4 linked regions of the Oryctolagus cuniculus genome follow. The protein of the gene in region 1 interacts with the protein of each later gene in a pairwise test. Links are inferred from orthologs where the notes say so. Each region holds a gene or a part of one and is shown in the gene's direction. Other genes may lie near its edges.

Evidence for each region.
Region 2: the proteins of DISC1 (region 1) and ATF4 interact in binary tests that used the Homo sapiens proteins (3 or more experiments, as listed by UniProt). The link is inferred for Oryctolagus cuniculus from reciprocal best matches to the Homo sapiens genes DISC1 and ATF4.
Region 3: the proteins of DISC1 (region 1) and PCNX4 interact in a two-hybrid assay, tested with the Homo sapiens proteins (2 studies listed by BioGRID and IntAct). The link is inferred for Oryctolagus cuniculus from reciprocal best matches to the Homo sapiens genes DISC1 and PCNX4.
Region 4: the proteins of DISC1 (region 1) and EEF2 interact in a two-hybrid assay, tested with the Homo sapiens proteins (2 studies listed by BioGRID and IntAct). The link is inferred for Oryctolagus cuniculus from reciprocal best matches to the Homo sapiens genes DISC1 and EEF2.

What each region holds. Positions count from the first base shown.
Region 1 is NC_091444.1:51,180,019-51,184,033, forward strand, and holds the start of DISC1 (disrupted in schizophrenia 1 protein), read left to right. Parts: upstream 1-1,215; 5' UTR 1,216-1,300; coding exon 1,301-1,361; intron 1,362-4,015. UniProt on the Homo sapiens protein: Involved in the regulation of multiple aspects of embryonic and adult neurogenesis. Required for neural progenitor proliferation in the ventrical/subventrical zone during embryonic brain development and in the adult dentate gyrus of the hippocampus.
Region 2 is NC_091442.1:115,754,879-115,758,635, forward strand, and holds ATF4 (cyclic AMP-dependent transcription factor ATF-4), read left to right. Parts: upstream 1-1,337; 5' UTR 1,338-1,541; intron 1,542-1,989; 5' UTR 1,990-2,090; coding exon 2,091-2,307; intron 2,308-2,396; coding exon 2,397-3,205; 3' UTR 3,206-3,257; downstream 3,258-3,757. UniProt on the Homo sapiens protein: Transcription factor that binds the cAMP response element (CRE) (consensus: 5'-GTGACGT[AC][AG]-3') and displays two biological functions, as regulator of metabolic and redox processes under normal cellular conditions, and as master transcription factor during integrated stress response (ISR).
Region 3 is NC_091451.1:10,443,801-10,447,784, reverse strand, and holds the start of PCNX4 (pecanex-like protein 4), read left to right. Parts: upstream 1-1,184; 5' UTR 1,185-1,325; exon of another isoform or gene 1,326-1,737; intron 1,738-2,037; exon of another isoform or gene 2,038-2,093; intron 2,094-3,984.
Region 4 is NC_091447.1:59,303,740-59,308,023, forward strand, and holds the start of EEF2 (elongation factor 2), read left to right. Parts: upstream 1-1,484; 5' UTR 1,485-1,637; coding exon 1,638-1,640; intron 1,641-2,273; coding exon 2,274-2,488; intron 2,489-3,301; coding exon 3,302-3,483; intron 3,484-3,580; coding exon 3,581-3,792; intron 3,793-4,284. UniProt on the Homo sapiens protein: Catalyzes the GTP-dependent ribosomal translocation step during translation elongation.

The sequences.
Region 1 (4,015 bases):
GCTGCTATGGCCAGTGCGCTGTGCAGATCCGAAGCCAGGAGCCAGGTGTTCCTCCTGGTCTCCCAAGTGGGCGCAGGGCCCAAGCACTTGGGCCATCCTCCACTGCCTTTCCGGGCCACAGCAGGGAGCTGGCCTGGAAGAGGAGCAACCGGGACAGAACTGGCGCCCCAACCAGGACTAGAACCTGGGGTACCAGCACCGCAGGCGGAGGATTAGCCTAGTGAGCCACTGCGCTGGCCCAGTTGGTGATATTTTTTAAGCTCTTTTTTTATTTTTATTAGACAGGTAGAGTTATAGACAGTGAGAGAGAGAAAGGTCTTCCTTCCATTGGTTCACTCCCCAAATGGCCCCTACAGCCGGCGCACTGCGCCGATCCGAAGCCAGGAGCCAGGTGCTTCCTCCTGATCTCCCATGCAGGTGCAGGAGCCCAAACACTTGGGCCATCCTCCACTGCCTTCCCAGGCCACAGCAGAAAGCTGGAATGGAAGAGGAGCAACCAGGACTAGCCCTTTCTCTCTGTCTCTCTCCTCTCACTGTCTAACTCTGTCAAATAAATAAAATTTTTAAATAAAGAAAAAAAAAAAACCACGCCTTGCCCTTCCTTATCGCACTGTTCTGTAGCATGAATTACATGGGGGATTCTCCTTGGCTCTTTTGAATGAGCCAAAGAGAAGGTGTTAGTAGGCGAGTCAATGGTGTAGATGCTTGGAACTGAACTAGACGCTTGCAACGGACTGTGGCCTGCCCAGTGCTGCCAGAAGAGTCTAAAAGCTGGAATTCTTTTTATTTCTAAACAACCGCTTTCATGCTTATCCTTCGATGTCACCTTCGGCACTTGCCCTGCACTTGGAATAAAATGAGTCTACCTGATGCTAACTCCCGCACTCACATTTTGGTCACTTCCCAAGACTAGGCATCTGGGAAGAACCTTGCTAAGGTCCTATGCTGAAGGCCGCTCAGCCTTTCCTGCCTGCATCTCCCTTGTCCTGCTTCTGTCCAGAAGGGATCCAGAGCGAAGAACAAACTTTCTGGGGTCCCGAGGTACTAGGCACCCACCAAGAGCCTGCCCGCTGCGCCTGTCCCAGCCAAGGGACTGGATGTATGCTTGCCCTGTGTGTGACCCAGTTGCAAAGGAAACCACTGCGCTCTGTAATGAGAAGGAAGGAGCCTCCCTCTTCTCCCTCAGCCCCCTCCCCACTTCCCGTCCAGAGCGCTACTTCCTCCCAATCCGCCTCCCTCGGCCCGGGGACCGGAGCAGGAGGCAGCCAAGGCGGAACTGGAGGAGCCAGCGGCCCGGCACATGTTGCGCCGGGGTCCCCAGGGCGCCCCGGCCGGCGGAGGCGGCGCGGACCGCGGCGCAGGTAGGGGCTCCGCCACAGCAGCCAGAATGGGTCCCGGGAGGTCTGGGCCGGGCCGGAAGTGCGCCTTTCCCCCTCAGTAGGTCTGGGCGAGCCTCTCTTCACAGCTCCAGTTCGGTGCGCCCCTTCAGAGGTGCGGGAAACCGCAACAGGGCGCGTAAGGTGCAGGTTTGGGAGGAGAGGGTCTGGGGCTGTCAGCTCTGTGCCCAGCCCTCCAAGTCCCTCCTGGCCCGCAGGACTCTGCAGAGCAGTCCGCGGCGGACCCATGCTCGCGTCTGACGGGTCCTGGGCGGCGGCGGAAGGCCCCAGGGGCGTGCTTGGAGTTGGGATGGGTCCTGTCCATCCGTACCCCCGCAGGACAGAGCGGCCCTGCACGCCCTCGCCCGGGACCCGCGGGACCTGGAAGGTGGAAGTTGAGAGTGGGGTAAGGAGCTGGTGAGGGCGCGTCCTCCACAGGCCACGGTGCAGTTTCATTGCAGGCTTGGAACTTGGCGACGGCAAAGCCCTCGCCGGAGCTTCGGCGGGACACCACTGCCCAGACCCTGATTACACCGTCAGCTCGCAGTGGTGACACTGAAGTCATGGCGTAGATGTTTGCTTTCCAAGCATGACAGGACTTGTATCTCTCGCTCTTAAAATACATGCAGAAGTATTGGAAACTTTCTGGAGACCGTGAGATTTGGAGTCAGGGTGTGCATTATGTCCTGGGTGCATCCCTTCCCTCAGAAGTCACAGTGGCCACTAATGACGGGGTCTCCCTGCCTCCTTGGGTCTATGGATGTGAAAGCACTTTGCTAAAAGTGTCTCACTGGTTACACAAACGTGAGCTGGGAAACACCAGGGCCATGAAAGCTGGGAGTTGGAGACAGTGTCTTTGCTTCTCAATCCTGGACTTAGCTGTGCCTCAGTTTCCCCACTTTTAAAATGGGGACCATGACAGTACCCCTTTCCCCAGAGGGTTGCTGCGCCGTTTCGGTGTGGTGGTGGATGTGAAGCCCCTAGCTCTACTCCAGAGACAGACTGCAGGATGAAAAGACTGTCGTTGCTAATTTTCCTAAGTAAAACTGAATACTGTGGCGTTTAAAGGAATACTGGTTTGATTTAAGTACGAAGAGTAGGGTGCTGTAAAAGACCCTGGGTTTTCTTGTGCTCAGGCATGACGCATGGAGTCCCTTGAGGTTCAGTTCAGACTCTGCCACAGAACAAGAACCCAGCCCTGGACAGTAGACCTACTTTGTGGGCTTTGTGACCTTGGACCTCAGTTTTTCTTAACTACTTACAAAAAAAAAAAAAAAAAAAACAAAAAAAAACCAGAAAAGGGGAATAGTAATTCCTGCCATTTAGACCAATAGTGCTACCTGAGGTTCAAATAAAGTAAAACATGTAAGACATCGTGTGGAACAGGAGTCACTGTGCACATACAGGACATCATATTACTAGCAGGAATCCTAACATCTGCAACTTTTTACAACTTCCAGATGTGCTGGGAGCTCTACTGTGCATTCTTTTGATGAACTCTTCCCCAAGCCTTTATGGGGCTGGTAATCAGTCCTTGTTTTCCTATGGCAAAGCTGAGGTTCAGGGTCACCTGCTTTTTTCCCAAGCTCACATAGCTGTTCAGTGCAGAGCCAGCAGTGCACCCCTGTGTGGACACCTCTCCCCATTGTCTTTTCAACCTCTGACTGAAAAGATGTTAGTGAATGGAGCCACGGTTCAGAGCAGACCTGTATTAGATCATAGCTAATGATGCACCCTGCATATCATAAAATGGATGGGTAAATTATTAGCCCTGCATAGGTGACTGAAGAAATCGGAGATTTCTTTCATCCCTATTTCTGTAAAATCCGATGCAGGTTATTCTCTTGAAACAATGAAAAACAAAGGCATGGAAAGCTTGAAAGAACGAATGATGATCTTGCAGATCTCAGAAGAAGTGGAATCTGGATTAATACTTTAACACCTAAATGTGTCAGGACCCTAGGATGGCACACGAGGTGACGCTGGGATGAAGGCTGTTGGTGTCAAGGTCACCTCACAGGGCTGCATCCCAGGATGTTTTTGTGGAGACCTCATGTTCAGCCATGATGCTGGCAGAGGGAAATTGAACTTTTTTTTTTTTTTTGACAGGCAGAGTGGACAGTGAGAGAGAGAGACAGAGAGAAAGGCCTTCCTTTGCCGTTGGTTCACCCTCCAATGGCCGCTGCAGCCGGCGCGCTACGGTCAGCGCATTGCGCTGATCCGAAGCCAGGAGCCAGGTGCTTTTTCCTGGTCTCCCATGGGGTGCAGGGCCCAAGCACTTGGGCCATCCTCCACTGCACTCCCTGTCCACAGCAGAGAGCTGGCCTGGAAGAGGGGCAACCGGGACAGAATCCGGCGCCCCAACTGGGACTAGAACCCGGTGTGCTGGCACCGCTAGGTGGAGGATTAGCCTAGTGAGCCGCGGCGCCGGCGGGAAATTGAACTTTAAACAGAAGAGACTGAAGATCAGATCTTTGTGCTGCATTAACAACTCTTAGTTCACTTGTTTCCTAAATTAAGTTTATTACTTTTTTTTGTTTTTCTAAAAGCAACATGTATTCATTACAAGAAGTAGAGAAAACTCCAAACAAGTAAAAACGAACAAACAAACAAACAGTAAAACCACTGAAATCTCACTA
Region 2 (3,757 bases), on another chromosome or scaffold:
TACTTGAAAGGCAAAAATTAGGAGTTCTTCCATCTGGTTCGTTCCCCAGATGGCCAAGAGCTGGAACTCCGCCGGGTCGCCCACGTGGGCGCAGGGGCGCAAGCACGGCTCTCCCGGGCGCATCAGCAGGGAGCGGGCGGGACTCCCGGGATGGATGCGGGGTCGCGGTGGCGGCGCGGGAGTCCCACCCCCACCGCCTTCCTCCTGACCCCCGGGCAGAGTGCCGCGCCCTAGGCCTCGGCCGCCGGTCAGTTCCGGGAGGAGCCCCCTGAGGAAGCAGAGTGACCCCACAGGGGTAGCCGGGAGTGGGGACCCCGAGTTAGCGTGGCGGGAGCGCGTCCCGCGCGCGGGCCGGGCCCCAGCACGGCCAGTGTCCGCCAACAGACGGGGGCGCCGGGGCTGCCCGTGCACCCTGGGAAGGGTGGCCCTGGCCCCAGGGCAGGTTGTCTGTCCAGCCAGCAGCGCTCGCGGAAGGGACGCGGGAGTGGAGCTCTGCGGGCCGGGGCCCGGCTCCCCGGGAACTCCTGTCCCCCGCAGGGCCACCGGGCCTTGTCCGGAGCTCGTGGGAACCACCCGGGGTCGCAGCGGGGCTGAGCCTGCAGAGGCCAGAGGCGTCCCCGCAGCGACGCCCTGCAGCAGAAAGGGCGCCGCGGACACGCAGGCTGGCCAGCGGCTCGCGGAGGTCAGCGGGAGGACGCAGAGCCGGCCCCGGACGGCGGCAGGCTCCCCGGCCCCGAGGCCCGGGCCCGCTCGCGGCGGGCTCGCTCGGAGGCCGCTGGGCGCTGATTTCTACCGCTGCGGCCGCCGAGGCTACAACCAAAGGCACGGCTGCACGCCAGGCCGCTCCCGCCCTTTCCCGCGCAGACCCGGGCCCCTTCGCCGAGTGGCCCGCCCCCCTCGGGCCCTGAGCCAATAGGAGCTCAAGGTATATATGACTCCTCAGGCCTGAGCCAATCATCTCGACGCGCGCTCCCCGCCAGCGTCTCGCGCGATAGCCGGGCGGCCTCGGCCTTCACAATAAAAAGCCTCCTTGGAATGAAAGGCTCTTCACGCCCCGCCCCTGAGAGAGATCCCTCCGCGCATCCGGGCATCCGAGGGGGAAAGGACGAGACTCTTTGATCTTGGACGCCTTGTAAAGTAGTGCGCCTTTTTCCCGACGTGAGATCTTGAAAGTAAACTACTTTTCTGTACATGGCTACGCCTCGGACATAAAAGCTCGGGGGAGGAAAGTGGTGGGGACGCCGGGGAGTGGGCAGGAGGCGCGGGTCACATGGCCGCGGCGGAAGGATGCGTCCTGTGATGCGGCTCGGAGGCGACCAAGTCTATAAAAGCCCGGCGGGCCGCGCGCCGCCGCCATTACCGCTGCGCCCGCCCGTCGATGTAGATCTCTTGCGAGCCGTGCCCTTCCTCCTCCCGTCCCGCAGGGCCGCGGCCACCATGGCGTATTAGAGGCAGCAGTGCCTGCGGCAGCGTTGGCCTTTGCAGCGGCGGCAGCAGCACCAGGCTCTGCAGCGGCAACCCCCAGCGGCTTAAGCCATGGCGTGAGTACCGGGCCGGGCGAGGGGGCCGGGGCCCGGCGTCTGCGGGCCCTGGGCCTGGGCCTGGGCTTGGGCGCGGCCTGCGGCCGGGGGTCGGGGCCGCGTCGCCGAGGCGGAAGCGGTTTTACGAGCGCCGGGGACGCGTGGTTCCTGCTTGCGTGTCCTTGGGCGGGGTCGGGAGAGCGCGGCCCGGCGCCCGCGTCCCCGGGGAGGTGGGGGCGCGCTGTCCTCGGAGCCCCGGCCCCCGCTCTGCGCCGGCGGGGGTCGCGGTGGCCGCCCCGCGAAACGTGGCGGCGGCCAAGATGGCGGCGGGAGGCGGCGCGGGGTGAGTCACGGGGCGGGGCCGGGCGGGCGGGCCGGGCGCCGGCCCCGGCGGGGGCGGCCATGGCCGCTGTGCACCTGCCGCCCGGCCGGCCCCCGCCCTGATGGCGCCCCTGCCGCTCGCCCGCAGGCTCCTCACGGCACCCAGCAGCAGCGTTGCTGTCACGGACAGAGACACCTTCGAGCTGAGCCCCTGCCCCGGTTCCAGCGCAGCCCCGCGACACGGCCGACATGAGCTTCCTGCACAGCGCGGGGTTGGCGGGGGACTTGGCGTCCCCCTTCGACCAGGCGGCTTTGGGGGCTGAGGAGGGCCTGGGGCTCCTGGACGACTACCTGGAGGTGGCCACGCCCTGGAAGCCTCCCGGGCCCCCCGGCGACAAGGCTGCGGCGGGCTCCTCGGAATGGCTGGCGGCGGACGGGCTGCTGGGCGCCCCCGCCGACGGCAAGGGTGAGCGCCGCGGGGGGTGGGGGTGGGAGGGGGCGCCCGTGTCGGGGGGGGGGCGCCGGCCTCACGCGCCCTCGCTCGCGCCCCCGCAGAGGACGCCTTCTCCGGGACGGACTGGATGTTGGAGAAAGTGGACCTCAAGGAGTTCGACTTCGACGCCCTGCTGAGCTTGGACGACCTGGAGGCCGTGCCCGACGAGCTGCTGGCCACGCTGGACGACTCGTGCGACCTCTTCGCCCCCCTGGCCCTGGACGCGCTCAAGGAGCCGCCCCAGGCAGGGAGCCCGCTCGGCCCCCTCCCCGCGAGCCTGCCGCAGGTCGCCCCCTGCACCTTCCTGCAGCCCCTGCCCCTGTCGCTGGGGGTCGCGGCCGCCTCCCCGGATGAGTCGTTCAGCTTGGAGCTGGGCAGCGAGGTGGACATCGCGGACGGGGACCGGAAGCCCGAGTCGCCCGGCCTGGGCCCCGTGGTCCCGCAGGGCGTCAAGGAGGAGGACAGCCCCTCCGACAACGACAGCGGCGTCTGCATGAGCCCCGAGTCCTGCCCGGGCTCCCCGCAGCGCAGCCCCTCCGCCCCCACCCCCAGGGGCTCCCCGCACAGGGGCCCCCCCGCCCCGGCCCGCCCCAAGCCCTACGAGCCTGCGGCGGCCGCGGCGGCGCGCGTGAAGGGCGAGAAGCTGGAGAAGAAGCTCAAGAAGATGGAGCAGAACAAGACGGCCGCCACGCGCTACCGGCAGAAGAAGCGGGCGGAGCAGGAGGCGCTGGCGGGCGAGTGCCGGGGGCTGGAGGAGCGCAACGCGGCCCTGCGGGAGAGGGCCGACGGCCTGGCCAAGGAGATCCAGTACCTCAAGGACCTGCTGGAGGAGGTGCGGGCGGCCCGCGGCAGGAGGAGGGTCCCCGCCTAGGGCGCACGCACAGGAGGCTCCGCTGTTAATAAATTATTTTGTAGTGAAAGCATTCCTGGGAGTTGTCCTGTGGCTCACACCCTCTGGGCGTGGTGGGGCGGGCAACAAGAGTCCCACGCGGGATGGTGGGATCTGGTCTGGGGCGGGCACTCACTCCATGAGTGGCTGCAACTTCCTTGTTCGGTGTTCCTGTGTGTGTGTGTGGGGGTGGTCACTGGCTCCAGCCTGCACACACACAGATCATGGGAGAGCTGTCTATTCGAAGGCAGAGTTGGAGACGGTCCTCCATCTGCTGGCTCACACACCCAATGGCCACGGCAGCCAGGGCTGGGCTGCAGCAGAAGCCTGGAGCTGACAGATGCAGGGGCCCAAGCACTCACCACAGCAGAGAGCTGCAGCAGCTGGGATTCGAACTGGCACCCACATGGGGTTCTGGCACTGCAGGCTGCTTCACCTGCTATGCCCCAGCACTGGCCCTGAGCTGGGGGGCCAGACCCCGCTGTTCTGGGCCAGCCGTTAGGGACAGCCACAGTCTGGGACCGGGACCCATTG
Region 3 (3,984 bases), on another chromosome or scaffold:
CTAAGAAGTGAATCATCTGTTAAAGTTTTATCATGAGAATGCAGCGATTCCGTCACGTCTCCAGGCTCCAATGCTGCATTGAAAATCTGAGGTTTAATGAAGCCACCTTCATCAAGCTGCACCTCGCACCTTGGTGTGCCGGAAACTGCTTCTCTAAACCTCCTGAGCCAACCTCAAACTTTTCCTCTGCGGTTTTCTCACCCCTTTCAGCCTTCATAGAATTGAAGAGAGGGCCTTGCTCCAGATTAGGCCTTGGCATAAGGGGAGGTTGTGGTTGGCTTGATCTTTTATCCAAACCACTACAGCTTTTTCAGTATCAGCAATAATGTTTTGCTTTCTTATTATTCGTGTGTTCCCTGGAGTAGAACTTTGCATTTCCCTCGAATTTTTCCTTCGCAGTCAAACTTGGCTAACTGGCACAAGATACCTAGTTGTCCATGTATCTCAGCTTTTGACATGCCTTTCTCACTAAGTAACCATTTCCAGCTTTTGATTTAAAACACTTTTTCGAAGCTAGTTATTAACAGACCTACTTCCCACACCGCTGTGTGTCAGGGACAGTCAGAACACACGCATGTACAGATTAAGTTCACGGACGGACCCAGGCGCAATCCGTGCCATCCCCAATCACCACAGAAGGGCCCACTAATCACACCTCGCCATAAAAAAGGACAATAAGGAAAAAAGCTGAAATATCGCGAGTTAGCAAACCGCGACACAGACAACACAGCACAAGTTGTTGGGAAAATGGTGCCGACAGGCTCGCTCGACGCTGTGTTGCCACAACTTTCCATTTCTAATAAAATACAATTATTTGTGAAGCGACACAAAGTGGAGCGCAATAAAGCGAGGTTGTACACAGTCGCACATCTTCCAACCGAATAGGACGAATGCAGCATTCATTTGAAACGCGGTGACAGGCCGTGGCCGCCAGAGCGCAGACATCAAGATAGCGGGTCGCGGGGCACCCACACTTCCGGGGCTGGCAAAATGGCGGCGGCGCGCCTTACGGAACTACGTCACTACGTCACATCACCATGGCAACGACGCTCTGGCGTAGGGGCGTGTCCGGGTGAAAGGTCCGGCCGTGGTTTCGCGCCCACACCCAAGACGCGGTCGAAGGACCCGCGAGACTCTTACAGCGGAGCGGGGCCGGGTGGGGCGCTGCACCCCGCCTGCCCTGCCTCGCCCGGCCGGCGTGAAGCCCCGTCGGGAGCGCGCGCAGGTGTGGGCGGGGCCCTAGGCGGGCGCGTGCGTGACGCCGCGCCGCGAGCGGCGCCGGCCGGCGTTGACGTTAGCCATGGAGACGCAGGCCGGGGGCCCGGGTGAGTTGGTCGCGCGCCGGCTGGGTTTCCTGGCCTGTGGGCGGCCGCGGTGGTCTCGGAGCTGTTTTCGTGTGGTGTGGAACCTTTAGGTGTGAGGACTGCGCGGCTGCTTAGCCTGTTGAGCTGTAGCGTTTGTTCCTGTGGCCCCTGCGAAATGGAGCCTTGACGGAGGCTTGGCCGCGCGACCACCCGCTCCCCCCAGGAACTGGGCAAATTTCCTTCAGTGAGGCCAGGGCCGCCTTGCGCTTAAATAGCCACCGCCCCCCAAGCCGGATCCCCAAACTCTGTCCCAGCCTTCGGGTCGGATGTTGCTGTTTGAGTCCTCTGACTGCTTGGGACACCTGTTGGCGGCCCCTGTATTTTCTAGTTAAGGCGCTGCCTAGTCATCATTCATTGCTGCAGAAGATGCCAGGTAAGGGAACCTTTTCCCGAGAGCTTTATTGAGATATAATTCACATTCCGTGAGATTTACCCACTGGAAGTGTATATGGCACTGGTCTTTAGAATAGTCACAGAATTGTGCAGCCGAAAGCAATCGGTTTTAGAAACGTTGTGTTGTTGCCCCTAAAAGAAACCGCACACCTTTCAAGCCCTCAACGCCCCCCACCCCAAGCAGTTCCCATGATCTCCACTGGAGTTGACAGTTGGCCCTGGAAATGGAGACCCACCCCCCACGCCCCCAGCAACCAGCAGTGTATTTTCTGTCTCTGTAGAGGTGTTTCCTGTGCATCTTGCAGAATGCGACCCCTTGAGACTGGCGTGTAACAGGTAGCCATAGTGTTTGGGGGTTCATGCATGCCGCAGCCTGTCTGCTTCATCACTGACCGCCTAATCACACTCCATTAGGTGATGCCTCACATTTTATCCATTCAGCTGTTGATGAACAGTTGCATTGTTTCTAATTTGGGCAGGCAATATTTCTGCTGTGAATGTTTATGTGCCAAGTTTTTGTGTGAACATGGTTTCATTAACCTGTGTGCTTACCTAGGAGTAGAATTGCTGGGTTATATTGTCATGGGGGTGGTCCTTGGCTAGGCTCGGTCCGGGTTCTTGTCTCCATGCATGAAAGAAGTCGAGGAGGAAACGAGGTGTACAGGAAAGCAGGATTTACTTAAAGAAAAGGGAAAGGTGCGGGCTATCTTGTTATGGTATTGCGAGGCATAGGGGGTGGTGTCTGGCTGCGGCTTGATTGATCATTCAAAGGGAGCAGAGTTTGGTGCAGCACCTGAGTACTGCCCATTTCTGTGCCCTGTTTTGGAAATCTCAGAAGTGTCATGGTGTTAGGGGCACGGTGAGAGTAAAAAAACTGACCCTAGTAATTTTATTATTATAATAATTTAATGATATAAATGTCATGGGAGAGTCACTGTCTGCAGCCATTTTGGATTGTTATAGCTGATGCTAATTTCTTTTAATATTTTATTTATTTGAGTGGTAGAGTTACAGACAGTGAGAGGTAGAGATAGAGAGAGGTCTTCCATCTGCTGGTTCACTCCCCAAATGGCTGCAACGGCCAGAGATGTGCCTATCCAAAGCCAGGAGCTTCATCTGGGTCTCCCACGTGGGTGCAGGGGCCCAAGGACTTGGGCCATCTTCTACTGCTTTCCCAGGCCACACCAGAGAGCTGGATTGGAAGAGGAGCAGCAGGGACTAGGATGCGCGCCTATATGGGATGCAGGCACTTCAGGCCAGGGCTTTAACCCTCTGCATCATGGCACCTCCCCCCATTCTTAAATTTGCAACATTGTGAAACTTGGGGTTTGCACTGCAGGGAAGGGGGAGAGGGCTGGGACTGGTGCATGGAAGGCAGGTTTGGGAAGTGCACAGAAAGGGGGCTTGGGTGGTGCAGGTGGGGCTATGACGTGGACCAGGCAAGGCTGCTGTGCTGTTGGGAGGGCTGGCCTGCGGCAGTGCAGTGCTGTCAAACCTCAGTTCCTCTGCTAGCAGCCCACCTGCCCATATCAGTGTAGTACCCGTGTTTAGTCTCTTGAGGAATTGTGGCTGTTTACCAAAGGGACTGCACCATTTTATATTCATATTAGATGTGATGGAGGGTTTTAATTTTTCATGAGCTCGCCAGTGCTTGTTGTCTGTCTTCCTCCTTCCCCTTCCCCTCCCCTCCCTCCTCTTCTCCTCCTCCCCCTCCCCCTCCCCCTTCTCCTTTTTTTACTCATTTGTAAGGCAGAGAGAGAGAGAGTTCTTCCATCTGCTGGTTCACTCCGCAATGGCTGCACAGTAGTCAGGCTGAGCCGGGCTGAAGCCTGGAGCTTCTTCCAAGTCCTGCACATGAGTGTGGGGGCCCGAGCGCTTGGGCCATCTTCCGCTGCCTTCCCAGGCACATCAGCAGGGAGCTGGATTGGAAGTGGAGCAGGCAGAACATGAACGTGCCCATGTGGTGTGCCGGCATTGCAGGCAATGCTATATGTACTACGGCACAATGCCAGCCCCAGAGAGATGCTTCGTCTACCGATGAAGTTCTTCTATACTAATAGAAAATGAACAGTCTGATAGTAAAAAAGCAACATGAAGAGACAGTCCACACAAAGATAAAATAGCGTTTATTTACACAATACAAACGTATGCATGTAATGAATATTCGCAGAAAAATAGACAAGATTCATGAAAGATTCTATTAAAAAGTAATATTCAGAGATTCAGC
Region 4 (4,284 bases), on another chromosome or scaffold:
TGAACTCCGGAGGCGGGGGGGCGTGGGGGCGTCCACCGACTGTAAGGGGCACCTGGGAGGTTACAGCGGCAAGGCGGGCTTCGTGATCCATTAATTAACCCGGCCCAGCCTCGGCTGTCCCGGGCGGCGTGAACCGGCTGCTCGAGATGTCCGCGTCGCAAATTCTTAGAACGAGTGTGTTTTAACGAATTACGAGGAGCCCCGGGCTGCTCCCCAGGAAAACCGCAGCCTCCAAGGGCGCGCAGTGGCGGCCTCGGGTCGGCAGGGGTCGCTGCTGCGGCCTCCGCGCACGCGCACTGGGCCCGCCCTGCAGAGCCGAGTTTTGGGTTTTTGGTTGTTTTTTTTTTTTTTTTTTCCTCCCTCCCCCGGCCCGCCGCCCCCGCGTACCCGCCCTGCACGCCCGGCCCGTGCGTGCTGCTGCAGACCCCGGCTCTGGCTGCGGCTTCCTCCGCTCGTGGGGCTGGGGGCGAGGGCAGAGGGTCGTGGGGTTCGACGGCCCCGCACCGCGTCCGCTCGGGGCGGGGGGTGCGGGGGCGACCGCAGGGCGGCGCCGGCCCCTGCTCGGAGACGACCTGGGCTGCGCGCGTCTTTGCGGGGCCGACCCGCATTGCTTCCCACGGACGCCCCCGGCCCCTGCCCCAGCCTGTCGCCCACGGACGGCGAGGGGAGGGTCCCCAGGGGGGGCGCTGCCCTCGGATGCAGAACGTAAATAGCACTAAAGCCGCGGCGGGCACCCCCGGAGGCCGCTGCGGCTCCAGCCGGGTCACCTCGGGACACGCGCGCGCCGCGGTCCACGCGCGCCGCCCGCTGGAGAGCAGGCGGAACGCACGGGGCGTGCGTGGGGAGCCGCCGGCCGCGGGGCCCGCACGGCGCAGGCCGGGCTCCGGGGACTGGGCGACGGCCGCTGGGCGCCCCGCACCCGGGAAGTGGGCATCGCAGGGGCGCGGGGATCCACGCACGTGTTTTTTTTTTTTTTTTTTTTTTTTAAGAAGGCTCATTTTCCCACGACCCCTGCTGGGAGACGTTCGCTGCGTTTTTTCGGGGCAGCAGAGTCGATGCATCTTTGCAAAACACAACATTTTTTTTTTCTTTTTTAAGATAAGTCCCTGGGGCCGCGACACGCGAGCAGCTGCAGGAGCAGCAACCGGGCGTCGCAGGCACCCACTCCCCCCTGCGCGAGCCCCTTACGTAATTCCCAAATCAGGAAAGTGACACTTTAGGGACCCTGCTCACAGGGTCTTAACAAAAATGTTCCGCACCGTGCAAGCTAACACGGGCGCTTTGTCTGTCCCAGCCTGCTGCGCGCTCCTCCCCCGGTGCACCTGCACCTTTTGCACGGAAGGCCTGCGCCCGCGTGGGGGCCGCCCGCCGCCCCCAGGCCATGACCCGGTGCACCCCCCCACCCGCCAACCGCGCCGGGCCCTGAGGGGTTAACAGGCGGCGGGCGCCTGTGCGCCTGCGCGTCCAGCGCCTTCGCCCCGCCCCCGCCTCGCGGTCATGTGACCCACCCAACCGGCGTCGGCCTATAAAGGGCTGGGTGTTGACGTCAGCGTTCTCTTCCGCCGCCGTCGCCGCCATCCTCGGCGCGACCTGCCTCGCTCGGGTCTGCTCGGGAGAATCCAACGCCATCCGCCACCATGGTGAGCGCTGCGGGCCGCCCGGCGCCTGGGGGCGGCTGCGGGGGCCCCGCGCGCCCGCCGCTGCCGCGCCGGCCGCCGACGGGGCGGGAGCGCAGACATGGCGGCGGCGGCGGCGGGGCCGGCGGGCTCGGGGCCGGGGGAAGCGGCCGGCGCCATGACTGCGCGCCGCGCGGCTGCGGGGCAGCCGCTGGGGGCTCGCGGGGGCGCCCGGCGGGGACGCGGCCCGGGCGTGCTGATGCGGCGGGCGCGCGGGCCCGGGGCGGCGGGCGCCTTACGTAAGCGGCGGGGCTGCGGGGGGCGCGGGCGGGCTGCCCTCCCGCGGACGCCCGGTGCCACCGTGGCCCGGCCCTTGACCTTCGCCCGCGTGGCAGCCGCGAGGTGTCGCCGTGCACCTGCCGACCCGGAAGCTGCCCTGTTGGACCGAGTGGGCAGCGGGGTCGGGTGGCCCCGGGGGGCGGGGGCGGCTGCACCTGCTGTCACGCGCGGGGGTCGCCCTCCCCGGCTGCTGTCGTGAGTGACAGCCCGGCAGCCGGCTGGGGGCGGTGGGCGGGGCTCGCGGCGGGGCCCCCGCGGCCGCCGACCCCCGCCCGGCAGCTTCCTGGACCCCTGGCATCGCCCCCTCCCCGCGCGCAGGTGAACTTCACCGTAGACCAGATCCGGGCCATCATGGACAAGAAGGCCAACATCCGCAACATGTCGGTCATCGCGCACGTGGACCACGGCAAGTCCACGCTGACCGACTCCCTGGTGTGCAAGGCCGGCATCATCGCCTCGGCCCGCGCGGGGGAGACGCGCTTCACTGACACGCGCAAGGACGAGCAGGAGCGGTGCATCACCATCAAGTCCACGTGAGCGCGCGCGGCCGGGGCCGGGGGCGGGGCGCATCGCTGTCAGGGCGGTGGGGGGGTTGCATTGCTGTCAGGGGTCAGGGTCCTGGGGGCGCACGTCCGGGCGCGGGGTGCATCACTATCAGGGCCACTGGGGGGCGCGCAGCCGGGGGCTTTTGCACGGAAGGCCTGCGCCCGCGTGGGGGCCGCCCGCCGCCCCCAGGCCATGACCCGGTGCACCCCCCCAACCCGCCAACCGCGCCGGGCCCTGAGGGGTTAACAGGCTGTCAGGTCCACAGTGGGGGCACAGCCGGGGGCGGGGTGCGCGGTGGAGGGGGGCTTGCATCACTGTCAGGGGTCGGGGTCTTGGGGGCACGCGGCCGGGGGCGGGGCCTCATCACTGTTTGGTCTGCAGCCGGGGGCGGGGCGGCATTGCTCGGGGGCGGGGCCGTGCCTGCGTCATCAACCCCCCCCAGTGGCCTCTGGCCCCGGGCAGGGCGCTGCTGGCCACAGGTGGCCTGGGCAAGGGCAGGAGTGCTGGGCAGAGAGGGGGTGGGGTCTAGGACCCCTGGGGGCGGGCTGTCCCACTGCAGCATGGACGGTTGTGTCCCCCAGGGACACAGGCCCCCGCGTGGGCATCAGCTCCTGTGCTGTCCCTGTGGTCAGGGCCCAGGGCGACCCCGAGAGGGTCAGCTGGCCCCAGCGTCCCCGGCTCCCGTGTGGTGCAGGCCGGCCCCCGGGGAGCAGAGGGGCAGGTGCGGCAGGTGCGGGTGGGGCCGGCCTTGCCCGGCTGGGGGTGTCCGCCTGCACCGTGACCCGGCCCCCCCCCCCCAGGGCCATCTCGCTGTTCTACGAGCTCTCGGAGAACGACCTGAACTTCATCAAGCAGAGCAAGGACGGCTCGGGCTTCCTCATCAACCTCATCGACTCCCCCGGCCACGTGGACTTCTCCTCCGAGGTCACGGCCGCCCTGCGCGTCACCGACGGCGCCCTGGTGGTGGTGGACTGCGTGTCCGGTGAGCGGGGCGCCGGGCGGGGCGGGGCAGGGCGGGGTGAGGCAGGCAGGGTGAGGCCGGGCCGGGACTGAGCCGGGACTGAGCCGCGGCCCCGCAGGCGTGTGCGTGCAGACGGAGACGGTGCTGCGCCAGGCCATCGCCGAGCGCATCAAGCCGGTGCTGATGATGAACAAGATGGACCGCGCGCTGCTGGAGCTGCAGCTGGAGCCGGAGGAGCTGTACCAGACCTTCCAGCGCATCGTGGAGAACGTGAACGTCATCATCTCCACCTACGGCGAGGGCGAGGGCGGGCCCATGGGCAACATCATGGTGCGTGCCGCGGGGCGGGCCGGGGGTGAGGGCGGGCCCATGGGCAACATCATGGTGCGTGCTGGGGGCGGGGGCGGGGGCGAGGGCGGGCCCATGGGCAACATCATGGTGCGTGCCGCGGGGCGGGCCGAGGGCGGGGGCGGGCCCATGGGCAACATCATGGTGCGTGCCGGGGGCGGGGGCGAGGGCGAGGGCGGGCCCATGGGCAACATCATGGTGCGTGCCGCGGGGCGGGCCGAGGGCGGGGGCGGGCCCATGGGCAACATCATGGTGCGTGCCGGGGGCGGGGGCGGGGCGAGGGCGGGCCCATGGGCAACATCATGGTGCGTGCTGGGGGCGAGGGCGGGCCCATGGGCAACATCATGGTGCGTGCTGGGGGCGGGCCGGGGGTGAGGGCGGGCCCATGGGCAACATCATGGTGCGTGCCGCGGGGCGGGCCGGGGGTGAGGGCGGGCCCATGGGCAACATCATGGTGCGTGCCGCGGGGCGGGC